Nothobranchius furzeri: one gene and its partners. The protein of the gene in region 1 interacts with the protein of each later gene in a pairwise test. Links are inferred from orthologs where the notes say so. Each region holds a gene or a part of one and is shown on either strand. Other genes may lie near its edges.

Region 1 (3,500 bases):
AGAAGACCGGCAGGGCAGAGTCTCAGCTCAGATCAGGACAGAACCGGAAATTCTCCACAGTTCACCGTCCTTGTAGAGCAGCTGAGTACACCTCGTGGAGTTTTGTTATTATGAGGAACCAGAAAATGATGGAATGAGGCATCAGAGAGTTATAAAATCTTTCCAGCGGGTAAAAAAAAAGCACATTCACCTGCTCTGTGTGATGTTGGGACATTGGATTACAGAATCAAGTAGTTTTTTTTTACTATACCACAGATTATTATGGCCAAAAATCAGCAAACGTGAGACAGAATTTACGCTTTTAACTTCATGAGATTAGCTTAGTTTGTTTTGCTGCTGAGTTCCGGGACTGTTGCAGGTAGAGTGATGGTGCTTATATTGTTGCAAAGAGGAGAAACTGGGCTTTAATTTAAATGGCTGCTTCTGAGGACAGGATCATGTCTTATTGTTGCTACTGTGTGTTTTTCTCAATATGTGTATTTAGCTACTTTTCAGCCTTCCTTTTTATTGTCATTGCTGAGGTAGAAAACATGGAATCTATCATAAGAATGGTAAACTGGCATCCCCTAGTGGTGATATGTGGATATCGCATCTAACAGATGGCATTTCTGTGCCACACCCAAAATAAAATTCAGCCGCCACTGCTGATTATGTTCAATTGGAATGTTTGCTTTGCAAAGTGCCTTGATGGCGCTATATAAATTACTGAATTGAATCTGTAGCTGTGTTTCTAGATTATGAGGTGTGAATAAGTAACTATTAGATTTAGTTGGATTACTATTTTATTTTATGAATTGAATTAAAAAAACATTTACAACAAGTTAGTTTTTTAGAATTGGGTTTACATTACGTTTTAAAAGTACTGTTTAATTTCTTCTAAAAATCTTAAAATTGTTCCTTGTTAGGGCTCTAAAAGGCTTTTTTATCTCAAGGGGCAGTCATTTTTTCAAATACATGAAGTCAACGCGGAAGTGACAAATATTGCAGTTCAACCCTCATCTGGTAGGTGCTGGAACAAAAACAGAGAAATCCTCATTGACTCCCATGTTAAAAATGCCAACTTCACAGCAGAAATAAACATGTTTACCGCCTGGTTCATAAACCCATTTTAGGTTTAATAGATCCAGTTTACACTCATGGGTGAATTTTTTTGTCACTCTTCCATTTTAGGTGTAATTAAACGCTTGAAATTATAAATAATTACATTTGATTGACAGGTAGCGTGAGCATCAGAGCTAGCGCATAGCACTGTTTGCTCAAAGATGGGTTGAACTATAACGTGTTGTTGAGGCTGGCTGGGTAACGAAACATGAGCAAGGTAAGTTGACCGAGGCTAGCTAGCGGAGGCTTCCGCGCTTCGCTGGTTACACCATGGTCAAAGATCTGCTAGGTCGCCGCTGCAGAAGAGGTTTGCTGAGTTTCAGTAACATGCCCATCCCTTTAAAAGTGACGGACCGACAATCAGAGATCTGATAATCTGTTGTTCCATCCTCCCGGAGACAGCCCAACAGGGAGGGTACCCGGCTTCTCCGATATCCTGGCTGTTCCTTTCTCCTGAGGGAGCTAAGCCGTGCTGCCACCTGGCTTTCTGGCATCCTCTACTGATCGCAGAAAAACAGCAAGGGAAGTGACACCTACAACATAACGTAGGCGAAAATAAAAACAAAGCTTTGCTACTCTGTGTAGATAAGAACCAAAAATAATGGAGCGGGATCAGAGGGCTGACTGGGTGGTGGTGAAGGAGCAGCGACGGCTGGTAATGGGGAACAGGTGGTGTTGGTTACCTGAGCGTGGAGCGAGGAGGGGTAGGTGAAAGCGGGTGGAAGGGCTGGCGACAGCTCTGCCGGGTACAGCGGGTATGACGCCCACACATCTGGGCTGCTGGGATATAGAGCAGGCACTGTGAGCTCATCTGTGGAAAGAAGAGGAGTGGAGTGAGGAGAGTGGCAAGTGAATGGGTGGGTGGATAGAGAGGCAGGGTGGAGGTGGCAGTGATGGTGGTGATTGTGGAGGTGCGCACTGGGAGGGACTATTAAGTATCTGAAGTTGAATCCTCTTATCGTGATTCTTTAAACCAAAGCCCAAAAATGTCTGATCAGCTGACAGCAAGCCTGTAAAGATTCCTGCTCATGTTTCCCTCATTGTCTTTTTACGATAAAAGCATTAAAGTCATGATAAAGATGAGTAAAAACATTTAGCTGAAGAAGCTAAAACATCCTGCCTTTCCCAATAGAGTACTGCTCTGAAGCCCAAACCAGTTTCCTGTAAGCCCATGTCCCCACACACACCAGTAGTGCAGGGAGAGCTACCCTCCAGTAAACCCAGTTAGGAAAAGCTGTGTGACCTTGTATTTTCCAGAGATAAATATCAAAGAAAAATAAACTATTTTTTGTAATTATTGTTAACAAAATATAAAGAAGTAGGAATGTTTAGTATATTGTTATGATATCCATGCATAATGTGTGTATGATACAATAAGATAAGCTATTTAATATCACCAAAACATAAATATGTTGCTATGTTTTGACTATCTTAAATTTGTTGTAAAATGTATGCCCTGAATTTAACCGCTGGTCTACTTTAGAGTCTGTAGCTCATAGGATGAATAAAAGACCTTACAATAATTATTGTTAGAAATGTGCTTAAAGTGTTCATTTTAATCTTTTGCTTTCCAAAATTAAGCTAGGTGCTGTGACCGGTGCGTTTGCACCTCCAGTTACACCCAGCTGAGATGGTTGTCATGGTTACATAGCAGTATTGCAACTTACCTAGATGGGGATACTGATCAATAACTTGTTAGACCATTAAAATATTTTTAAACTAGAGTTAGCTAATGATGCTAGCAATAACTTGGTGGCTTGCAACTGCTGTGGTTGGATAGCCTAGCGCTCTAGACAAACTGTAGCGACAACAAAAACGTTTGCTCTGCAGGTTGGTTTGGCCACGCTCCATTGTAGCTTCAGCAAGCCTACCATTGGCTTGGTGTAGTGTAGATTCGGCCAATCACAACACTCTACAGCTTAGATGACCACTGCCCAGCAACGGTGCTCATTTGAAATGGCTTTGGCATCAACTTTGTATGATTTAGACTTGGGTTCCTTTTTGAGACATGAGCAGAAATATATTTCTTCTTCTTCTACGGTGTATGGCGGACGGCCTCGTTGTCTGATTTATGCTGCTATGAATCCATCATGTTGTTTGTTGCTCTGATTGGTCCTAGCGCTGTCCAATTGCATGCAGACAGTTTGAAAGAAAACAGTAGTTTCTGCCCCATGACTGAGCTGCATATGGGTCATGGCCATACTATACATTTACAAATATAGTACAGCTTGCCAAGCTAGTATTTGGATGGCTATTGAGTCAAATTAAAAGCTTACTTCAGTCTGACTTGTAATTTCCCAAATTTCTTCAATCTTTGTTGGAAAAAACATCTTTGTGACTCTAATTTGCTTACCTTCAACGCATTAACTGAAAGCTTTACAGGCTAGCAGCAGCAGCTA
Region 2 (4,039 bases), about 28 Mb from region 1:
ACCTGACGTGACTAACAAAGGCTCTAGAGGGTCCCTCACCTGTTGGTAAACATGATGAAGGCGTAGCCGCGGTTCTCCCCGCTGAACTCCATCATCAGGCGAAACTCGTAGATCTTTCCGGCCCTCTCAAACAGAGGAACCAGCTCGTCCTCGTACATGTCTCTGGGAATCTTCCCCACAAACACCTCGCAGCCACGCGGCGGTGCCGGGCCCTCCCAGCCTGAACCACACGCACACACAGAACCGGGTCAGCTGGATCCCTGAGCGACTTCTAATGGTCCGTCTGGACTCTCCCGCATACCTGGAGGAGGTCCGCCGTACTTCCTCTGCCCATTCTCCTGGATCATGCTGTAGCCCGTCTTCTCCATCAGCGCCAGCAGTGCCACCTCCTTCGCACACGACGTCTTAAAGTTGTCTCTGGCCTCCAGCAGGTCCCCGTCCATGTCCTCATCAGACAATCTCTCACTGTCTAGAGGACAAACACCGACGCATCAGGACCCAGAACCTCCTCATGGCCCACCAGACCATGAACCATCACCTTACGAGTTAAGACAACAGGAACATGAGGACAATCTGAGAGACCGTTTAGGTTAAAGAACATCAATGTTGGGTGGAGTTTATGTCTGTGCTCTGGTTTATTACCATCTAACTAACTAACTAACTAACAACTAACTAACTAACTAACTAACTAACCATCTAACTAACTAACAACTAACTAACAACAACAACTAACTAACTAACTAACCATCTAACTAACTAACTAACAACTAACTAACAACAACAACTAACTAACTAACAACAACTAACAAACAAACAAACAACTAACTAACTAACTAACAAACAAAAAACTAACTAACTAACAACTAACTAACTAACTAACAACTAACAACAACAACTAACTAACTAACAACAACTAACAAACAAACAAACAACTAACTAACTAACTAACTAACTAACAAACAAACAACTAACTAACTAACAACTAACTAACAAACAACTAACTAACAAACAACTAACTAACTAACTAACTAACAAACAACAACTAACTAACTAACAAACAACAACTAACTAACTAACTAACAACTAACTAACAAACAACTAACTAACTAACTAACTAACAAACAACAACTAACTAACTAACAAACAACAACTAACAAACAACTAACTAACTAACTAACAAACAAACAACTAACTAACTAACAAACAAACAACTAACTAACTAACTAACAAACAAACAACTAACTAACAAACAACTAACTAACTAACTAACTAACAAACAACAACTAACTAACTAACAAACAACAACTAACTAACTAACTAACTAACTAACAACTAACTAACAAACAACTAACTAACTAACTAACTAACTAACAAACAACAACTAACTAACTAACAAACAACAACTAACTAACTAACTAACTAACAAACAACAACTAACTAACTAACAAACAACAACTAACTAACTAACTAACTAACAACAACTAACTAACAAACAAACAACTAACTAACTAACAAACAAACAACTAACTAACTAACTAACAAACAACAACTAACTAACAAACAAACAACAACTAACTAACTAACAACAACTAACTAACAAACAAACAAACAACTAACAAACAAACAAACAAACAAACAACTAACTAACTCATTCATTATAAAGGATCATTTAGAGGATGTATGTCTGATAATGTGTGTGTGTGCGTGCGTGCGTGCGTGCGTGCGTGCGTGCGTGTGTGTGTGTGTGTGTGTGTGTGTGTGTGTGTGTGAGTCGTGGAGGATGGCTGCTTATACTGAACCAGGATTCTCTGGAGGTTTCTTCCTGTTAAAAGGGAGTTTTCCTCTCCACTGTCGCTGCATGCTTGCTTAATATGAGGATTGTTGTATAGTCACTGACACTAGTCAGTGACTTGATGCAATTTGCTGGGTTCCTTATATAGGAAACATTATTTCTGATTGGCTTAATGAACTGACCTGAATTGGAATGTTTATTATGTGAAGTGCCTTGAGACGACTCTTGTCGTGATTTGGCGCTATATAAATAAACTTGAATTGAATTGATAAAAGCCACTGGACCTAAAATAAAAACAGTAACTCATTAATGAGTTCATCACTAAGTAGGTGGAGTTTATTCTTATTTATTATTTGGATGAATAAGTGTTATTTGTTTGATGCTGATGAGCTCCCGGAAACATTCACTGTAAATCTGGTTTGGAACATGTTTTTATTTCACTAATAATCAGCTAAATCTATGGAAACAGAAATGTTTATGACCCATTTAATTCTACATGTAGAAAACACAAGTTTCTGTTTGAAATGTCATTAACATGTCATAAACGCTACCAGTTTTGACATAAAAATAATTTTTTTCCTTCATTTTCAAGTTCAGGAAATGAACGTAAGGAGTTAGCTTAGTGAGCTAATGCTAATAGCGCAACCTTTTCCATCCCATAATAATTCCCGCGAGAAAAATCACTAAAATCTAATCCTGTAAACTAACTGCATCAGCAACGAATGAACAATTTAACTTTTTAAATGATAAACCAGCTAGAGTTACGTTAGCTAGCATGCTAGCGGCTCTAGATTAATCTGCATCAAAGTTTCCTTTTAACCGCTAAAATCCTCCCAAACTTCACCAAACCACCGCGTTTGTTTTTAAAACACGTTATAACAGCTGAACTGGACTCTCACCGCCTCGGAGTTGGAGCATTTTTCCTCTAAACGGCTTCAGGATCTCCAGAAGCAACAGTTCGGTCACAGAGTTCAGCTAAAACTCCGCCGGGAAGAGCCGGAGAATCGTTACCTAGCAACAGTCCGAGCCAGGGGCGGGGAGTGACGGGACCCTCCACCAATCAGCGACGAAGTTTGTAACAGGCGGCCCGTGTTCGAATTTTATTTTATTTTATTTTATTTTATTTTATTTTATTTTATTTTATTTTATTTTATTTTATTTTTATTTTATCAAAACATGAAAAAATAAACTAGTTTTCACACAATTAATGTAAATTAAACCAAAATTAATGAATATGTGTCACTTTATGCTAAAACAAATCACAGTTGAATTTTACATTAAATGTAATAAAACATAAACCAAAAAGTAATGGAATATAGTTAAAATAATGAAAATGCAATAAAAAGAATAAAATCAATCAAAATGTACGACATATATGTGAATATGTCGAAACAATATGACAGAAAAACAAAAGGAGTATTGATGCAGAACAAGAGGCAATCCATCACGGTCAATGTGAGAAAGTTTAATTCATTTTCTGACAAACTCACTGAATGAATCCATATCAGATCAGAGTATTTATCTAGTATCGCATTTTAAAAACTGGTTAAACAACATAAAACTGTCATGTTATGAGCTGCAGGCATGAACCATAAAAGCCCGGACTGGATCCGGTTTAAATCTGTTGATATGACAGAAATCATCCTTTTACGAGGCCATCCAGAGGAGGAACGGCAGCAGGAACGCTGGCAGGACCGACCAGGTGTTCACAGCTCTCAGGTAGACCAGCAGGCACATTGAGAGCATCGCCGTTACCTTGGCAACGCGTCGACTCAGCAGCAGCTTCCTCATGGTCTTACAGAACTAGTGGAGACAATCAGAAGCATCCGGGTCAGATGTTGGCGTACAAGTTTAGCTGATTAAGTCTTTATTTTGGGTCCAGGTTCACGAGCTCACCGACACCACGGTCCTCTTTAATCCTCACCTACACCTAGTTATCTAAGGTCGCAGCTGCATGAACACAAGCTCACACTAGGCTCCGAAACTCAGCCTAAACATCAACGTTTTCCTGCAGGAATAAATAAACAACATTTAACTCACGGAGACGATAACCAGACGTGCAGTTCTCCCATCTCACCGCCAGGTGGAGACATTTCCTGTGAATACTGCACTGGCTCGCTGGATTCTTTTATTAACTCCGTTTCTGTTAAAGTAGATCTGATCAATCTGATAAATAAACAAGTATAAAGATGGTTTTCAGAGTCTGGACCTGAATAATTCCATGACTAATCCAGTCGTCACAGGCTG
Region 3 (3,422 bases), on another chromosome or scaffold:
AACTTGGTGCTGAGTGTTTTTAGCATAATCATGTGTGTTTATATACATATCTATGGTTTCCAGTTTGTCCAAGGCTGACTCACTAATGCCACAAAGCACTATGGGATTTGTGGTCTTTCCGGCAACATGGGCCAGCAGGCCAGTGTTAATATATGTTTGATCTTGAGGGTCTAAGTTTGACACCTGTGACTTACTGCACTGAAACCTGGGGAACGACACACTCACCCAGTTTTGATTTGACCAAAAACAGCCAGGCTATTATTTGCTGGGATGTAAATATAAAATTGGGTGATCTTTGAAGACTCGAGGGATTTTGTGAAGTGTGTGAAGTCCAGCGAGGAGCACGGCAGAGAAGCTGCTCTGCGGCAGAAATTCTCCCAGTGTGTACTGACTCAAGTCACGAGTAAACCACTGCACTCTGCTGATGCCTCCAGTGTGAAGCGGGCATAACGCCCCCCAATAAACACGTCCACCACAGACATTAAGAATTACTCAGAACATGAACTAAAAAGATACAGTTTATTCAAAACCAGCGAGGGAAACACGTTTGTACAAAAATACACAAATGTTACATGTTTGTCAAGACTTGTTCAGCTTTAACCTGCTTACACCACCGATGCTCGTCTGCATGCAGCACCAGAGTGGAATAAGCCTTAAACCATAGTCTTAATTTCCCTATGTAAAATTAACAAATCCAAATACGTTGTAATTTTCCACTTGGAAGAATGTTGAATCCTGGATACTTGAGTTGAGACAAAAATGGGAAATTCATTGTTATAAATATTAGGAAGAAAGCTGAAGGTATGAGTTCTCAGATTCATCTCTGGTGTCGTTCACTTCGACTTTGTGCTGCTTTTCCCGCCTGATTCGTCTGCTTTTTTCTGCTTTTGTTGCATTATTTCAGCATCCCTTTGGTGGGAAAACAAAACATTAAAATAATTACTTTGACAGAACACAAACGGTGTTTTAAAAACACTCATGCTGCATGACTATGAACATAAGTGGAGTTGTATATAAAAAGCTATACGACAAACACCATTATGGCAGTAAATTAGACCACAGGACTCAATAAGCAAATATTATAGTGGACCTCCGTTCAATGTCGTTTACCTCTGTTTCCGTGCAGCTGCAGAAAGCCCGTCCTCGTTACGCTTTCCTTTAGTCTGTTCCGTTTGCTTTTTGGCACTTTTCTGGCGTGCAAGCTCACGTTGGTTTCCTCCTGCACAACATGAAATAAACACAATGCGGATTCAGTTGTAAAGATGCTCTAAAGCGGCTGTAATGAATCTAACTCGAGAGCAGAGAGCAGCCGACGTGGCAGAGCCGCCGAAGAGCAGCCCAACGCCAGCATTTAGCCGCATCCAGGCAGCCGAGTTTGCATGGACACGATCACGGAGTCAAATACAAAACAAAAGAATTTTAAACACTTCAAACAAAAATTTTATTATCTGTAGCTTTTTCTACTCGATTATTCTTCCGCTGTGTTCTTGCTGCAAGCTACAGGGCTAATACCAACATCCAAACAACCCTTTGACCCACCGATTCGAAGTCGTCTTACATAAGTCGTCCAAAGCACACACATACACTTTAACTTAAAACACCGAACACTTCATGAGTGGATGACGTTTAAAATCTTATTTATTAGCGATGATACTGTCATTTAACAGTAAATACTCCAATGAACCCCGTCTATTTGCTGGAACAGCAAGCTGACCCAGCAACATATATAAACGTTAACGTGATCATGCGCCGATCATCTAAACACTTTAAGACCAAATAAAGATGTCGTTACACACTTGTCATTTTAGCAACCGACGTGTCTTTCGGTCAAATTCCAGATAAGCTCAGCCAAAGGGCCACTGGCTCCCAGCACGTCTCCCCAGTCGCTTTTCCTGCTCTGGTTGCGCCGACAGAAAAAAGTAACTAGTCAGAAACTAGAACATTCCGCCCAAACACACCAACTGCGCGTGCGCACGCTCAGGCACGTCTGTTACGCTCGGTCCTTGTAAAAAGTGACGTACCGGGTGCGTCTTTTGGAATTCTAGGATGTCCAAGGAAGGTCCCGCCTTTCTCGCCACTGATTGGCTAGATGGACTCTACTACGATTGGCTACTTAATGAAGCAGCAAACCGTCTTCCCTTGCTAAGTGCAGACTGTCCTCTTGCCACCAACAGAACACATATTTTGGGGATTTTATTTTGTTTTTTTAAGAAAATAAGAACTTAGCGCCATTCTGCCCTCTTTTGCAAAAGTTTTTTTTGTTTCTTTTATTGAAAAACTGAGAAACGTAAGAAGTGAACTTATAAATCTTATTGCATTTATCACACTGTGGGACTTACTTTATGTCTATGGCTCTAAAGCACTGATGTTATCTTATTACAGCAGGGTGCATAGGAGAAATGTAAGAAATATAATAAAACGGCCCTATTTTACCCAGCCGTGTGCAGCAGGTCTGTTTCTCTTCTAGAATAATGAAAACTGCTGAAAAGGTGTTAGGGTTTAAATCATAATCAGCTTTGAACTAATTTCAATTAAAGATGCAGATTTAAACACATGAAAGACGTGTCCTCACTTTCATCCTGCTTGCTTAACAGCCTCAGCCCGTATTTCCAAATTGTTATCAAAAGGCATGAGCATGAAAATACGCCATGCCGATTACATCACAGATGTTATTGAACAAGTACAGAACACCTGTGTGTGTGCGTGTGTGTGAATAAGTATATTGAACTGCCAGCTATGTCACCAGCAAACAACAGAGAAAGGTTAGATGAACATTTGAGGGCGTGCCTATTACTTTTTTACAGTGTTGGACACACCAGCAGAGACACACTGGGCTAGGGAGTGTGGTGCCAGTCTTCTGGGCAGTGCACCACTCCCTTCTTTTTCCTTCCCATAACTGTGTTCTCTCCAAGCTCTCTTTGGAGGTCGACCAGTGATGAGTGACCGTCTGCCCCCCAGTGAAGTTTTACGGCGAGCAACAGCTGCAGGCTGCACACCGATCTGTGCGCTCACTGCAGACCCTTTCATGGCTGCGGTTTGATCTTACATGCAGCAGCACTCCTCATCCTCCCGAACGTACAGTGCTGAAATCAGACTGCTGTCTGTGTGTTTTTGTAAAGACTGATCAGACGGATGTCATTGGGGCTTTGAAGGATTCATCCTTTTTCATCTTGTCCATAAGGTAATCACACAGGGATCTAAAACTAGGCTCAAAATGCTCAACATCCAACTGACATTGTGATGCTTCTTTTTCTGCTCCAGATTGTTGTGGTGCTGGGGGAGTGGTTGCTTCAGCTTCTTCTTGGGTGCCTATTTAGCGGAGCACAGACAAGGACTGATATCACAAGTTATCACTGTTTGGTTCAATTAGTTTACCTGCCAAAAACGACTTACTTGTACCGAGTGGGTGTGTTCTGCAGTCC
Region 4 (3,500 bases), on another chromosome or scaffold:
GTAAAAGTATTTTAAAATGAATCCTAACATCAACGGGCAGCCAGTGAAGCGCATCCAGGACAGGAGTTATGTGGTCAAACTTGCGCCTGCCCTCTAAAAATCTGGCAGCAGCATTCTGCACCATTTGCAACCTGGCTATTGAGCCCTTGCTCACACCGAATAGAACAGAGTTGCAGTAGTCCAATCGCACCGTAATAAAAGCATGGACCATCGTCTCAAGATCATGACGTGACAGAAATGGTTTGAGCTTTGCCAGCCGACGAAGGTGGAAAAAGGAGGAGGAGATCACTCCATTGATGTGGGTATCAAAACTAAGGGCGCTATCTAGTTTAACACCAAGATTAGTCACCGATGTAGACAGCTGTCCCTTAAATGACCCACAGTCAGTTAGGGAAGAGTCACAATGTATGCTTGGAGCAAACAATATAGCCTCTGTTTTCTGATCATTTAGGCTCAGAAAATTTTCAGTCATCCAGGTCTTGATCTCCCTCAAACAGTTTGTAAGAATAGAAATAGAGAGACCACTTGACGTGTTCAGAGGCAGGTACAGCTGACAATCATCAGCATAAAGATGGAATTGAACTCCAAGCTCACGACAGATGTCACCTAAGGGTAGAATGTAAATAGAAAACAACAGAGGGCCCAATATCGAGCCCTGTGGTACCCCCCAAGGTAGATCAGAGTACTCTGAGGAATACCTTCCCATCCTAACACACATTTTTCTATTTGTCAGGTATGATCTAAACCATTCCAGGGCTAATCCTGAAATCCCGACATAATGATGAAGACGGTGAAGCAGCACTTCATGGTCTATCGTGTCAAAGGCTGCCGTGAGGTCCAGCAGAAGTAGCAACACAGAATTACCGCTATCAGTCGCAAGATAGATGTCATTGAGTACTCTAACCAGAGCAGTCTCCGTGCTGTGCAGAGCTCTGAAGCCAGACTGGAAAGTCTCAAAAATGGCATTCTCGTCCATAAAAACCAAGAGTTGGTGATAAACACATTTCTCTAGCACCTTACTCAAGAGCTCTGGTTGTAGCTAGGTTGCTACCTCCGTTAGCTTAGCTCCCACCTCCGCGTTAGCTTTGGGTTAGTTTCAGGTTAGCTTGTAGCTAGTTCGACCGGGTGTCGTCAGTTGATCCCAGCCTTACAGCCCCACCCTCAGCTCCACCTCTCTTCCCTTTTGTGGAATTGTCTGGGCTTGACAGAACCTGTGACACGGTCAAAATGGCGGTGGTGGCCACCTCCCATTTCTCTTCAAAAATGTGTTATTGAGCTTGTGGAAACCCATTGTCCATATATGTATATGTCGTTGGTACACACACCGGTGCTCACATGGTGCTCTCATAAGTATGGACTTGGGCACGTTCAACACATGTCTTAAGGCTGTCGTTGCCACTAAATGCACTATGATATATTATTTTGTGATTGTTCAGTAAAACAATGATGATTTTATATTTCTTCATTAGGTTGATGCAGTGATGATGGCATGCTCCTGTTGTATTGTTGTGTGTCCCTTTCCTGCAGGTCTAGAAGCAGACTATTGTTCATCATTGATTGTTCTTTTTCGTGGATTGACAGCACACTGAAGTGCTGTGAACAAGAGCTCGGAGTGTCTGTCATAGGTCATAGGTCAGATAGCTTGTTTTGGAGACTTATGTGGCAGTGTTGAGAAAAAGCAGCATTAAAACACTCATTTTTACACTGTGAAGATACTAAAACCATAAACATATCAAGATAAATGCTTCCGTTAGAAACAAAGTGTTTAGTCAATAAGCGGATTTTATTATCAGATTATAACATTATGAAACATTTTCCTCTCAGATGGAGCCACGGACAGAGTGTAAACTTCCTTAATCTTCCTTCTTTTTCTTTGTCTCTGCAGAAACCCACTTGTCGTGGACCGCTGTCTCCTATTTTTCTAACCAACGCTGTTCCTAATGGAGTCAAGAGGAAAGTATGATTTTACTGCCACAGCAGACGATGAGCTGAGCTTTAGGAAGGGTGACATCCTGAAGGTGAGTCTGAATCATCAGGTGTCAGGATTTATGAGCCGATGTGGGTCCTGAATCTGTGTTCCCGCTCAGATCCTTAGTCTGGAGGAAGACTGGTGTAAAGCTGAGATAAGTGGGCAGGAAGGATACATACCCAAGAACTACATCGATCTGCAGCATCCGGGGTGAGATAGACGCACACACACACACACACACACACACACACACACACACACACACACACACACACACACACACACACACACACACACACACACACACACACACACACACACACACACACACACACATTAACTCAGTCCCCAACACAACAACCCACTGCTCGTTGTTCAGGTGGTTTCGGGAGAACATCAGTCGCGTTGCTGCAGAGGACCAGCTGAGGAACAAACCCCTGGGAGACTTCTTGATCCGAGGATCTCAGAGTTCTCCTGGAGAGTTCTCCATCTCCGTCAAGTAGGTCCACTGAGTCTCTGCTCTGATGTGAGCTCAACTTTAGCAACAGGAATCCAGAATCTCCCTGACTGTTGGAGACAGAACTGGGACAAAACCTGAAGCTGGAATCAGACTTCCTATGAAGCTTTTATAAGTTCATCTGGGTCACAAGATGTGAGCGAGAACATATTTCAATGGTGCTAATTTTTTTTATCACTATTTAGTCATGAAGTTTATTTATTAGTTCTCAATTTTATCTCGATTCTTCCTTAACTTGTCTCGTGCTTTTGTGCTTTCTGATTTAGAAGCTTGACTGGGTCAGGTTTCGGATGGGTTTTAGGCTGAGTCCAGATACCTGCACTGATTCTGAGAATATTCCGAGTAGTTCAAACATTTCCAACATTCCTGAACCTCACCGTTAGCGATGTTTACGAGGAAGTTTCCAAAGTGTCTCAAAATGCTGTGGGGTATCTCCAGTGAGTCTCGGGGCGTCGCTCCCTCGTGTTACTGAGGTTTTGCAAATACTGAGAAAAAGACAATTATTGCTTGAAATTAATCAGAGTTGTTGCAGACGTCTGAATCATGTCTCGGTTTAGTTTCTGAGGTAAAGTGTGAGACTTTGGCAGGAGTTGTGGACAAATGGTGAAGAAAAAGAAGCGTAAATGAAGCTCTCTGTAACTGACCTACAGCAGAAACATCTGTCTCAGAGGTTAAATTTCAAGTGCCTGAAGTACCTATTTAATCTGGTCTGGCTTCCGCTGGTAAATAACCAAATAATCTGGATTATGATCGGGACTAAAATACATTTCCTGTTAGAAAGACGAACTTCCTTAGATCATATTTTAGTTTCTGTGTGAAAGTGATTTAATTTCTGTTGGCGTGTTTCTTCTGTAAAACCTGTTCCTGCTCTGGTTTCATCATCAGAAATAATTCATCTTTTACACACATTAGTTTCCCAAAACTCTGCAAGACTTGTTATTAAACTAAATCTAAACAAGACAAATGAAACTGATCAGAGACAAAGTTCTGTCCTCTGAGTAGACGCTTCGGTTG
Region 5 (3,967 bases), on another chromosome or scaffold:
TTGACAATTTTTCTCCTTCATAAATGAAATAATTATTTAAAAACAGCATTTTTTTTATCTACTCTGGTTATGTTGGTGTTATGCTGATTTGTTTACTGATCAGAAATATTTTAAAAACAGAAAGTCGGCAAATCCGGCGTGACGAAGCTTTTTGGGTTTTACAAAACTATTACTTCACAGATCATCAAAAAGTTAATGCAAGAATAAGCAGACATCTACTATAATTAGTACAAAAACGCGTCGTGCAAGGGTGGAACATTAAACATGAATAACATTCAAAAATGTAGAAAATTAGAATTAACTCAGGATTATTAACATTAGGGATGCAAGAAAATATCGATATGGCAATATATCGTGATATTTTTTTCCAGCAATATTATATCGATATTCAAAAGCCGTGTATCGGAAATATCGATATGACAATATATCGTGATTTTTTCCCCTGTAAATATTACATTGAAATTCAAAAGCCGTGTATCTAATTCTTGAAAGAATTTACATGCAAACATTTGTGTATTTTCTTTTCGTTTTGTGCAATTCAATCGCCACCCGCTAGTTGGCAGCAGTGTGCAACGGGTTTTGTTTCCACCATTGAAATGTAAATCCCTCCATCATGGTTCAGATACCTCATGTTAAACATGTTATATATCAGTTTGGACTGTTTATTGAACATTCTTACAATAAATTCTGTAAAAAAAAAAATTGCTTGTAACGTCTGACTGAATGTATCGCAATATATCGTGATATATCGTATCGTCTCCCCTGTATGGTGATCGTATCGTATCGCCAGAATTTCAAAAATACACATCCCTGATTAATATGCAGTGTGGAGGAAACTGAGACCCCAGGACTGAGAGTGAGCTACATATCCATTGCACCGCTTAAGCTAGTCGTTTGACTTTGGGAGCTGCTCTCTGTGCCATTAGGAATGAGAAGAAGGAAGATCAGATGACAAAGATGGAAATGAGGGGAAGTGAGCCAAAACAAACACACCACTGATGTGTTAGAGCTCCGGACCTCCTGTTTGACAGGATGGGTCAGTGAGGAGACAGACAGGAAGGACAGAGAGGGCGGGGGGGCTGGAGGACATCCTTCAGTCCCCCGCTGTGGTTTAATGTGTCACACTCACCTTAAACCATTAACGCTGGTGGAGCTGCCCAGGTGTGGCGCAGGTATGTGACTAGCAGAGGCAAGTGGGGGCCAGGGGCTGCCCCAGGACATCCCCCCCACAGAGAGGGGTCTCCTGGGATACGGCGAGTAAACAGAAGTCGGGTGAGCGGCAGCGACCCACCCCATCCCCTGGAGGCTGGGTCGGTTCAGACTCCCCGAGGAAAAGGAATGGCGTGAGCGGCTGGGAATGGGTCCGGTGCTGCTGTGGCTCAAACACTGCTGGCAGGAGCAGGCAGGGGCTGAGGGGATGGCAGGGGGGCCGGAGGAGGCCAACGGGTAGGGGAGGTTGCACTGTCGCCGCACCTGGCGCCTGAAGCCTGTGGATTTGTTCACCTGGGCCAGAGAGGTGAGATCCACTATGTAATTGTACCCATGCGGGCCCAGGTCGGCCGTGCCCTGGCGGGCCTGGTAGCTGTGCTCTAGAAGGATGGAGGTCCGGGTCTCGTACGGAGTCCAACCTCCTTCATCGTTGACCCATTCCCAGTAGACACCGCTGCCGAGGCCTGAAGACTGGGCGAACAGGGAGCGCCGCACTGACCGGGTCGTCCCTGGAAAGTAAACAACAAACCCTTTAGTGTGTATTTGTGAGTAAAGCATCTTAAACCAACATTACCTGGTCAAGACCCAAGACTGGCACCTTCATCAACAGTAACTGTTCTTTTCATGTATTTCCCACATTATTCACCCATTTTATACTTCAACGTTTGTACTCGAAGATGACTTTACATCTATTTTCATATTTTTAATGTTTTTAAGCCCCTTTCTTGTGTGGTTTTTGTATAAAACACACGTTTCAAAGCCATGTCAGGTAAAAGTCCTGAGTTATTCAACATCCTCCCACATGACGCTCTAACAGCTCAGTCATTTAACTAAGTATTTGCACGGTTTAATCATTCAAACCAACATGATTAAGCTGTCCAGCTCTAGGACGAGTAATGAGAACGATCCTGATGTTTTCACTGAGAATGAAGCCCAGAAACATGACTCGTATTTCCTCCAGCTGATGTAAAGCGAAACCAGCTAGGCCGGTCACTGTGACGATACGAGGAAACGCGTTTATTATTGCGGTTATTAAAGGAAGAGGTCGTGCTCACCTGTGTCCTGCCGGAACTGCTTCAGGCTCGGTATGTCAATGAGGTAGGGCGACAGACTGGGGTCTGACTGTCCGAGGCAGATGCTCGTCGAGCCGGCTCCTCCGCCTCCTCTGGGCCCGCGCCGGGACACACAACGCTCGATGTAGGCGCTGACTTGGCCGCTGTAAGGCCGCCAATAGCCCTGGTCGTCCTGCCATTCCCACACCGCTATCATGGGCTGGGATGGTCCAACGGAACCGGACGGCAAAACCGGCAGCGAGGGCCCGTTTCTGGAGCCGTTCACCCGGGCGCAGGAACCAGACACAATCGCCATGTTATTCGCTAACAACACAACTGGTTAGCTGATTGTGGCTACGACGAAGACGCAGCGACTAGCTAGCTAGGCTCGTTAAAAACTCCATTCCGAAAGTGTGCACGCGCCTACAAGGAAGTTCCGAGGCGAGGCTCGAACCCAACACGACCGAGACAAACATTCGGGTTCATGTTGACAAAGCTGTTGCGTTCAGAAAGACCAAAGGCGGCCGAGTGGTGACAACATCACCATGGAGCCTTCCAGTCTGGACCGCTGCCTTCAAGGCCCGTCGGGAATAGCAGTACTCAGCAGACGTGCCTCGGAAACGCTGGTCTATGGGAAACAGCTTCCTCATTCACCCGATCTCCTTTTACACATTAATTCATTTATTCCAGCAGATTGTGATTTTTCTGCACCAGCTGGATGAAAATTTCGTGAAAATTAATTTCGTTAAAGATTAATAACTTTATTTTAACCTTTAAAGCAAACTCAAGCAAAACATTTAAAGCAAACTAGTAAACTTGTGCATCTTTGAAAATCCAGCCCAAGTTAGATCAAATATATATTTTAATGTTAGCATTTTTGCTTTACTATTTAATTAATTGACGCTTTATTCATACTAGTAAACTTTGAATGATTTGTAAAAACAGAGGCATTTGAATGCAACACAGAAGTTGAAACAAAAGCAAAACAAGCGCCCCCTAGTGACTGGATCCAATACGTTTTTAAAGGGAGATTGGGCAGTTTAGGCTTGCTTTTAGCACCCCCTAGTGTCCGTTTGTAGAAAGAAAGCAAAACCAATCTGTGCGTTTGTCTTTTCAACACCTCAAGCCTAATTTATACTTCAGCTCTGCGATGGAGAGACATACTCGCATTGACAGAGACATTTTGCTTTCAAATTTCTCCATCAGCTAGGGAGTGTTGCAAAACAATTTCCCGCCAAGATAACCGAGAGCGTAGTGCTATTCTGAGGGATCCTGCTACCATTACAGTCACGTAGCCGGTCCACGATGGTATTGTGTTTACATTGTTTTAATGTATTCCAGAGACTTTTTGACACGGACAGATTTGTCCCTCATTGATCTTCACCTCTTTATGCGATCAGTACCTCTAAACCCACGTTTATCATCTTTTCTGTCCACGAATAAAACGCTTGCTGCATATCTTTGCTCTCCTTCAGTCACAGGTGAATAAAAGTTCATATTTTCAGACTTTCTTCGATGCGTTTTTCAACCTGTTCTGTTTTTGCCGCTATCTTTTGACCTTTTGAAGAGGCAAAGACGGTGCTGTTGACCAATAAAAACAAGAAGCAGCCTCCTGACCAATCACAAGCTTGCGCTCTCCGTCTCTTTCAATGGACAGTTAAAATTTGGGGCGTGTCTCCATCAGCCTCTGCAAGCCTGTCAAAGCG
Region 6 (3,500 bases), on another chromosome or scaffold:
GTTATAAATGAGTTTTTATTTTTCCACACAAAAAGCTGTGTTTTCTGATTATTTTAAGTTTACAATCTGAAACAAATAAGACTTCCAAAACATCTTGGTCTCTATAAACCAGTTTCTTTCATCTACAGACAGTTATATTAAGACTTTCAGAAAAATCTTCACTTTGATTTTATTGTTACTTCAGACTTATTAGAGGAAAACTTTTTGGGGTATTACAGTTAAAAGCAAAACTATAACACCGGGAGAAGGTGTTGGTTTTAGTAAATAACCAAGTTAAGTGTTGAACCTGTCCCTTGCTCTCACACACACTCGATGTTTAAAAAAATAATAAAAATCTACACAAACATTTATCCTGGGAACAAAGTCCAACTGATCCGAATGGCTACAAATCTAAACAGAGAACTAAACTGAATAGTCCGACCCAGATCGTGATGTTTTAATACCTCTGCCAAACAGTCCGAGATCACCACCGTTCTTGGCTGAGCTGCAGTCGCTGAACTGTGAAGCTAAGGACTCAAACGATTCATGTCCAGACTTGATCTGTTCTATGTACTCTGAGCAGGAAAAAAGGACATGAAACGATCAGACTTCTGCAGAGTGACACCTCCGTTCCTCTTCTGCTTGGTCTAACTTACTCTGAATGAACTCCAAGGCCTCATCTTTAGTTCGTGTAATATTTTGTTCCCGCCAAGAAGATGGACGACGCGACTGATTATGTTTCACCAGGAGGTGAGAGCAGCGGACCTGTAAGAAAAACACAAAAATGGCCGAGAACTTTCATCGAAAGAGCTAATCATCAATCACCTGACCCATTAAGGATCCATTTTATTTTTCATACTAAGCATTAAGCACTGAACACATGAAATCAAAAGCATTTTGAAAGAAGCAGTTATAGAAGATGACTGAAAAGTTTATGCATCATTTTTCCATAAACAGCCTGTCTTGTCAAAGTCAGTTATTCAGTGCGTTTACATGCAGCCAGTAACCCTTTTAAAACCCGAATATTCACAATAACCCGGTTCCGCAGGTCCTTGTAAACACCACCAGAAACCCGGATATGCTCATAACCGGGTTTTTAAAAACCCGGTTACTACACCTGGGGTAACCCTTTTCTAACCCGAATGTTTGGTCGTGTAAATGCATACCGGGATATCCCCATCAAAGCGTGTGTTCTGCGCATGCTCTGTTCGCAAGGAATCTTGGTCTTTTGAGTAGCGAGACGTCTTGTATGCGCCAGAACACCAGAAGTAAACAAGTTGGGAGCAACATGGCGAGTCGTGGCACAGCACCACACTTTGAGTGACGAGGAAACTAAAGCGCAAACAAACACGGTCGCTATCTCTTCCGAACTGGGAAAAATTTTGTTGTTTTCACGGATACCAGAACAAGAAGAACCGGAAATGATGCATATTGCATCTGGACGTAGTCCACACGTCCTGACGCTGCCCCAACGTCCGCATTTACATCGGGTTATGCAAGTTAGGGGTAACTCGTGCTTGTAAACGGGTTATTCTGAACAACTCAGAAACCCGAATGCCGACCTTAACCCGATCATAACCCGGATATTGGCTGCATGTAAACGTACTCATTGTGCAGCCAAACTGATTCAACTAATCAGGATTATTTCATATTCAGTCACAGAAAACATACTTCAGCATTTTCTAAACTGTTGAATAAAACAGATCCTCCATATCAGTCTCTTTGATGGGTACTTTAAACCAGCAACACAAACTTGGAAGTATTCAACTGAAAACAAATTTCCTTATGTTTTGTTTTTGCCAAGTTTATTTTAAATGTCACATTTCCTGTTAAATAGTAGAAAAAAAATCCAACTTGTGTAATTAAAGTTTATTGTTGTTGTTATTGCAACACCTTATCTGGCTCTCCACGGCCGTCTCCCACTGGACGTTCCCACTGGCTGGCATTGGTGATGTGATTAAAGTAGTAAACCTTGCCTGCAAGAGAAAAAACCCCATAAATGTTTAAATTTCAACGTGCATCTATATTTTTATTACAAAGGTTACAAGAAAAGACAAAAATGAATAGTTATTGCTCACTTAAACCATTAATAAACAATTTTGTAAAGAGAAAAATGCAAAATACTTTATGTTTATGTATTTAGCAGACGCTTTTGTCCAAAGCGACTTACAAGTGATAATCGGCATGTTGCCCTTGAGGCTAACAACAACAAAAACAACAACTTGACATCAAGACCACAGAGAAAATATAAAAATAAGCAAAGTTTTAATCTGTGCATAAAATTTTATTTTGTTTCTTCTCTTTTTCATCACTTCCTTCTCCATTCTGCTCTTGCAGCCATACTGCATTTCCCCTGGGATCCACTAACTATCTATTTTTTTTTATTCGGTTTCTTGTTCCCTTTCCTCCACATTTTTAATCGCAACTTTTACTTTGATCATTCCATTCCATTCCATTCCATTTATTTGATAAAGCACATTTAAAAACAGCATGTGAGCTGACCAAAGTGCTGTACAGGGGTAAAAACATATAAGGTTAAAAGAATAATATAAAAGAATAAAACAACTAGAGCAAAACACAAAGAACCAACAATGAGAAGTCAATAAAATCAGTAAAAGAACAGTGTAAATAAACCATCGATAAAATAGCTAGGTAGTAAAAGCAAGAGAATAAAAGTAAGTCTTTAAGTGAGACTTAAAAACCCCAATGGAGGAGGAGAGTCTGATATGCAGCGGGAGATCATTCCAGAGTTTTGGAGCGCAGACAGAAAAAGCTCGTTCACCACGGGTTTTGCAGCGTTGACGGGGAATCTTTAATAGGTGTAGGTCACCTGAACGGAGAGTCCTGCCTGGCACATAAGGAGTGAGTAACTCGGATATGTAGGGTGGTGCTAAGCCATTCAGTGCCTTAAAAACAAACAATAAAATTTTAAAACGTATACGGTAGTGCACAGGAAGCCAGTGAAGTCTTGCTAAAATGGGAGTGATGTGCTGCCGACGGCCAGTATTGGTCAGAAATCTTGCTGTCGCATTTTGTATCAGCTGAAGGCGAGATAATGCGGCTTTTGAAATGCCAAACAGAATTGCATTGGAGTAGTCCAACCTTGAGGTGATCATATTTTACGATATTTAAAAAAAACATTTTTGTCCAAATGAAGAGCCTTCTTATTTTTATCTTGAGAGGTGCTGAATAAAATATTGTTCCTTCTTTCTTCCTTTAACTATATTGTACATTTCTATTTTCTGCATGCTGACTGAACCTTTGAGATCCAGCTGTAAATCCAGATTAAGACAGAGGATGCCAAAATAAACAAATAAATAAGTAAACGAGTGGGAAAACAACAGCTTCTTTCTCACATTTGAACATTTTTTTGTTTCTATTATTGACATGAACGTTTACTATCTATGCAGGAGACTTGTGCCTTTGCCAGAATTAAAAACATACATAAATTGCTCAAAATGATCTAAAATGCCATTGTGATTTCACTATTTTCAGCTAGTTTCAACACTTTTTAAAAATGA
Region 7 (4,074 bases), on another chromosome or scaffold:
GCGAGCCCACTCACGCAGAATGGACTTCAGTAAAAAGGGGGCGGGGCTTGGGTTTAACGCCCCACCCAATAAAAAGTTCTTCATTGATGTCAATGCAAGTCGATCAATTCGCTTTGATGACTGATCAGGAAGGTGGATGTTTGGATAAACCTTTTTTTTTTATATCAGCGTTGTAAATGAGTTCAGTCTCGTTAGTTTCACTTTAGAGGTGATCGAATGTTGGCTGAGTTGTACAAAATGTAGATGAAACCATCAGTGTCAAAACCGGATTATGTAAAACAATTCAAAGCAACGCCTCTGTTAGTGTGAATATTTTAGTTTTAATGGCTTTGATACATTTTGATGTTTTGAAAAATAAATCTACAAAACCAAAGTTTGCCATTTAATTCTAAATGTGACACATGAATTATGATGTTCAGTAAGTTACAAAATGTTTAATTTGAAGGATTGTAGAAAACAATTGAATAGTTAGGTGCACAAAGCAGGAACTGCAGACAAAGTAGAATCAGTCATTTTAATTTATTGTACTTTTGAAAGTTAAACAGCAAAGTACATTTTCGTAAAAGGCAAGGCTTATGTACGGTTGACTCAGTTATATACAGGAAGGTAACTTAACGTTTCATTATTTTCTACGCTGTAGCTGCATCAAACATTTGGTTTAGCGCTGGGCTTTCCAACAGTGAACAAATGTCTTCATCAGCTTTAAGCCCAAGACAGCAAAACACCAGCACGATTTGTGACGAACCATAAAGCGTAGAGCTCTTCCAGCTACCGTTACTGGCCCTTTCCAAAAATAAAAATCATGTTTAACTTCTGTGTTCTTGGGTCTGCTGGTAAAAAACTAACTGCTATTGTTTACCAGTCAGAAAAGCACAATGAAAGGATGACAAAATGTGCAGCTGTTTGAAACACTTAAACCAGAAGTGGCCCGTGAATCACATGATGCACAGAAAAACAAAAGCTGGAGCAGGAGCTGCTTGAAGGAAGATGGAAGTTGCGTGTACCAAGTGAAGACTGTCCAGGCTGTCACGCTTCCAAATACTCAGGCTGGACTCGAGCCACTTTACGAAACTCTTTGGCGTGAGTCAACGGACACTGCATCTCGCACCAGCTGATGGGAATCATCTGGGCTCCTGGTTCAGGGGAAAATGTGGTAAAAATGTTAGAAACATGCAGAAAAATGGGAAGTTATTTACAAGAAAAGAAAGTAGGGAAAATACGACGGAAAACACCTGTTTTCATGTCAGCAATATTAAAAGGCTCTTACACTTTTTCCAAATGCAAATTTGGTAAATGGCCTGTATTTGATATAGTGCCTTCTAGAGTCCTGGAACCCCCCAATGCGCTTTACAACACAATCAGTCATTCACCCATTCACACGCTGGTGGGGATGCGCTACGATGTAGCCACAGCTGCCCTGGGGCGCACTGACAGAGGCGAGGCTGCCGAGCACTGGCGCCACCGGTCCCTCTGACCACCACCAGCAGGCAAGGGGGGTTAGGTGTCTTGCCCAAGGACACAACGACAGACTGAGTGGGGCTCGAACCTGCGATTACGGGGCGAGCACTTAACCCTTTTGCCACCATGGCCCAATTTAGACCTGTTGAGAATTTTTGAGGCTTTCCAGCTATGTGTTCAAGCTGAAACCATTTCACACATGAAACCAGTACTTTACTTTTAGAAATCTATTTTATTTATTTAAAGGCAGCTTGAATGAATGAATGTTAATGCTACAAGTTCTGCTGAAGCTTTTAATGGCCTACACATCAAAACATGTATGTGAACAAAAAACAATGAACAATTACTTTAAAAGAATTGTTAGAAAAAAATCTAAACATTCAAGAGTAATTTTTTTATTTTATTTTATTTTTTTTTCGAAAAAATTACCATAAGATCACATATGTACATTTAGAAGTGCAGTGAAGAACTTTGCTACAAACCTGCCATATTTAGTCCTATACATGTCTACTGCCCCCTGGTGGCGGCTCTACAGATGGTGAGGGCCAAATTTTTTTTCTTTATTATTGTTATATTTTATTTAACTCTATTATTATATAACATAGGACACAAGATAAAGAAATATCTTTGAATAAAATAGTTCTTAAAAATAGATAATTATTAGTTGATGATTTACAAAATGAATTCAACTACATTTTTAAGAAGCTTAAAGTATTTTTGGCCAATTTTAAGCACTTTTCAAACCTTGAAAATACGATAAGAAATGTTTTCAAGCGCAAATAATTAGCTACTAAATCAGATAGATAATATCTTTGCATTTGGTCGGAAATTGAGAGTAATAATATTTAGCTATGATGAAAATAACACTAGAGAATTAATCAGTAATGCTGTCATTATGGAAGTTAATAATGTTACTTAAGTTCTAATCAGAAATCTTTTCCTCCCACTTTGGACCCCCTGCTGTTCCTGCAGAACCTGAGTGAGCTGGTCAGATCTGAGCAGCTGTTTAGTTTGGAAAGATGAAGTGAAAGAGGTGAGGAACGTACCTGCCTCGCTGTGGGCCACCACCACACCCAGTTCATTCTCAGCTGTTGTTAACAAGTAGTTAGACTGAATGTCACCGAGAGAAATCTGACATCAAAGGTCAAGATTAGTAATCAGTAACGTTCAGACTGAAGCACCGGAGTCAGTAGTAACATGTGAACATTGTTTGCTGTCATTTCTAAGATTCATTCATTCATTTTGTCCCATTCAGCTCAGCAAATTTTACAGGTCCCAATGAAACTGGGTTATGAGCTGAAAATAGCTTTTAAATTTGTTTGGTTTTCTTTCTTGGAGAGCTTGTTGAAGGATACCACTTTAGCCAAAACAATGTCGCCCGTTCTGAAGCTTTTGTATATCTCCACCTGTAAACAAAACAGAACCATCAGTAAGGAAACAGAAGGAGCAAAAATAAGTAAACAATCCAAGTAAAAGTACGAATTCTAGCTCACTTTATCCTTCTCTGTTGCTCGCACGTCTTCTTTCCTGTAGATACGGAGAGAGTGAGCTAAGAGTTTAGGAAAGTTAATCAAACTGGATTTACGTAGTGAGGTTACCTGATGGTCCCTCTGAAGCGGTCCTTCAGCGGTGTGGAACCCACATACAGGATGTGGACTTTGGCAAACCTGGGGTTGGTGCTGGTCACCTTTAAAAGACAAGTTAGTAAAAGGCAAACCTGAACACAAAGTACTGACATCTGTGAATGCACTGGCTGTCCCCGTCTTGAGTTTTAGTGCACGTTTCAGATATGATCATCTGAGTTTAACTGGTGTAAAAAATGATAAAGAGCTTAACTTAAATGTTTCTTTTGGTCATTTGTATGATGTTTATTATGTTGCACTTTGTTTGTTTTTAAGGTGATTTATGAATACATTTTATTTGAAAAGGCACTTTTTTTTCTTGATTTGTGTAAAAAAAAACACCCCCTAAATACATATAATACAAAAATAACTGTCCTTAAAGGGACTTTACAGAGGTTTGATGCTTTTTTTATGCTCGCGATCGCCCCCCTCAGGCCAAAAGCGTAACGGCAGCTTCAATAGTAGGCTCGTGCACGAGGCGTGCATGCTGTACGTGCACACTCCTTAACGAAAATAACAGCTGAGGCAGTCCCTTGTGTGTGTGTGTGTGTGTGTGTGTGGCCCGGAGGACAGAGGATAGGAGAACACGCAGCTAATTAATTAAATAATGTGGTTCTGTACCTTTCTCTTCAGCACAGCCGACAAAGGTTTATGATGGGTCAGTCCTCCTGCATGCTCAGATCATTCCCTTCCCTTGCTTGAAAAATTGTTCCAAAATGAAAGTTGAACCCACATCTTTTTTATCTGTGAATTCAATGCCGTTCGGCGAGTCTCAAATAAAAATTTGGGTATCTTACTGTAAAAAATATACCATTAATGTAAAAAAGAAACTAATTAAACTATGTTTACATCCAGAATCGAACCCGGGTCTTCTGCACGAGAGTCCAACATCTTAATAGGTGAGCTAAAGCGCCAGTGATGTCCTTTGTATCTGTAACGTTTATATCCTTGATGACAGCTGAAACAACGTTCAAAGAACGGTTCGGAGCGAAAA

The links.
Region 2: the proteins of RNA-binding protein with multiple splicing (region 1) and rbm46 interact in a two-hybrid assay, tested with the Homo sapiens proteins (2 studies listed by BioGRID and IntAct). The two-hybrid records come from large-scale screens. The link is inferred for Nothobranchius furzeri from reciprocal best matches to the Homo sapiens genes RBPMS and RBM46.
Region 3: the proteins of RNA-binding protein with multiple splicing (region 1) and small EDRK-rich factor 2 interact in a two-hybrid assay, tested with the Homo sapiens proteins (2 studies listed by BioGRID and IntAct). The two-hybrid records come from large-scale screens. The link is inferred for Nothobranchius furzeri from reciprocal best matches to the Homo sapiens genes RBPMS and SERF2.
Region 4: the proteins of RNA-binding protein with multiple splicing (region 1) and grap2a interact in a two-hybrid assay, tested with the Homo sapiens proteins (2 studies listed by BioGRID and IntAct). The two-hybrid records come from large-scale screens. The link is inferred for Nothobranchius furzeri from reciprocal best matches to the Homo sapiens genes RBPMS and GRAP2.
Region 5: the proteins of RNA-binding protein with multiple splicing (region 1) and dtx2 interact in binary tests that used the Homo sapiens proteins (3 or more experiments, as listed by UniProt). The two-hybrid records come from large-scale screens. The link is inferred for Nothobranchius furzeri from reciprocal best matches to the Homo sapiens genes RBPMS and DTX2.
Region 6: the proteins of RNA-binding protein with multiple splicing (region 1) and pin1 interact in binary tests that used the Homo sapiens proteins (3 or more experiments, as listed by UniProt). The two-hybrid records come from large-scale screens. The link is inferred for Nothobranchius furzeri from reciprocal best matches to the Homo sapiens genes RBPMS and PIN1.
Region 7: the proteins of RNA-binding protein with multiple splicing (region 1) and exosc1 interact in a two-hybrid assay, tested with the Homo sapiens proteins (2 studies listed by BioGRID). The link is inferred for Nothobranchius furzeri from reciprocal best matches to the Homo sapiens genes RBPMS and EXOSC1.

The regions. Positions count from the first base shown.
Region 1 is NC_091742.1:66,831,331-66,834,830, reverse strand, and holds part of RNA-binding protein with multiple splicing, read right to left. Parts: intron 1,913-3,500; coding exon 1,785-1,912; intron 1-1,784.
Region 2 is NC_091742.1:95,090,686-95,094,724, forward strand, and holds the start of rbm46 (probable RNA-binding protein 46), read right to left. Parts: upstream 2,801-4,039; 5' UTR 2,711-2,800; coding exon 2,692-2,710; intron 470-2,691; coding exon 302-469; intron 221-301; coding exon 40-220; intron 1-39. Other genes in the region: lratb.2 (lecithin retinol acyltransferase b, tandem duplicate 2), read right to left, coding at 3,440-3,595. UniProt on the Homo sapiens protein: Essential for male and female fertility, playing a crucial role in regulating germ cell development by ensuring the proper progression of meiosis prophase I.
Region 3 is NC_091749.1:75,953,531-75,956,952, reverse strand, and holds small EDRK-rich factor 2, read right to left. Parts: upstream 1,955-3,422; 5' UTR 1,804-1,954; coding exon 1,797-1,803; intron 1,220-1,796; coding exon 1,111-1,219; intron 910-1,110; coding exon 834-909; 3' UTR 501-833; downstream 1-500. Other genes in the region: uncharacterized protein, read right to left, coding at 3,125-3,309, 3,394-3,422. UniProt on the Homo sapiens protein: Positive regulator of amyloid protein aggregation and proteotoxicity. Induces conformational changes in amyloid proteins, such as HTT, driving them into compact formations preceding the formation of aggregates.
Region 4 is NC_091745.1:28,876,855-28,880,354, forward strand, and holds part of grap2a (GRB2-related adapter protein 2a), read left to right. Parts: intron 1-1,885; 5' UTR 1,886-1,940; coding exon 1,941-2,018; intron 2,019-2,087; coding exon 2,088-2,179; intron 2,180-2,348; coding exon 2,349-2,468; intron 2,469-3,500. UniProt on the Homo sapiens protein: Interacts with SLP-76 to regulate NF-AT activation. Binds to tyrosine-phosphorylated shc.
Region 5 is NC_091750.1:69,048,823-69,052,789, reverse strand, and holds the start of dtx2 (probable E3 ubiquitin-protein ligase DTX2), read right to left. Parts: upstream 2,801-3,967; 5' UTR 2,578-2,800; coding exon 2,265-2,577; intron 1,719-2,264; coding exon 1,130-1,718; intron 1-1,129. UniProt on the Homo sapiens protein: Regulator of Notch signaling, a signaling pathway involved in cell-cell communications that regulates a broad spectrum of cell-fate determinations.
Region 6 is NC_091744.1:9,163,095-9,166,594, reverse strand, and holds part of pin1 (peptidyl-prolyl cis-trans isomerase NIMA-interacting 1), read right to left. Parts: intron 1,956-3,500; coding exon 1,873-1,955; intron 745-1,872; coding exon 636-744; intron 555-635; coding exon 444-554; intron 1-443. UniProt on the Homo sapiens protein: Peptidyl-prolyl cis/trans isomerase (PPIase) that binds to and isomerizes specific phosphorylated Ser/Thr-Pro (pSer/Thr-Pro) motifs.
Region 7 is NC_091746.1:82,291,581-82,295,654, forward strand, and holds the end of exosc1 (exosome complex component CSL4), read right to left. Parts: intron 3,146-4,074; coding exon 3,057-3,145; intron 2,986-3,056; coding exon 2,952-2,985; intron 2,865-2,951; coding exon 2,814-2,864; intron 2,590-2,813; coding exon 2,505-2,589; intron 1,134-2,504; coding exon 1,027-1,133; 3' UTR 501-1,026; downstream 1-500. Other genes in the region: knop1 (lysine-rich nucleolar protein 1), read left to right, coding at 1-124. UniProt on the Homo sapiens protein: Non-catalytic component of the RNA exosome complex which has 3'->5' exoribonuclease activity and participates in a multitude of cellular RNA processing and degradation events.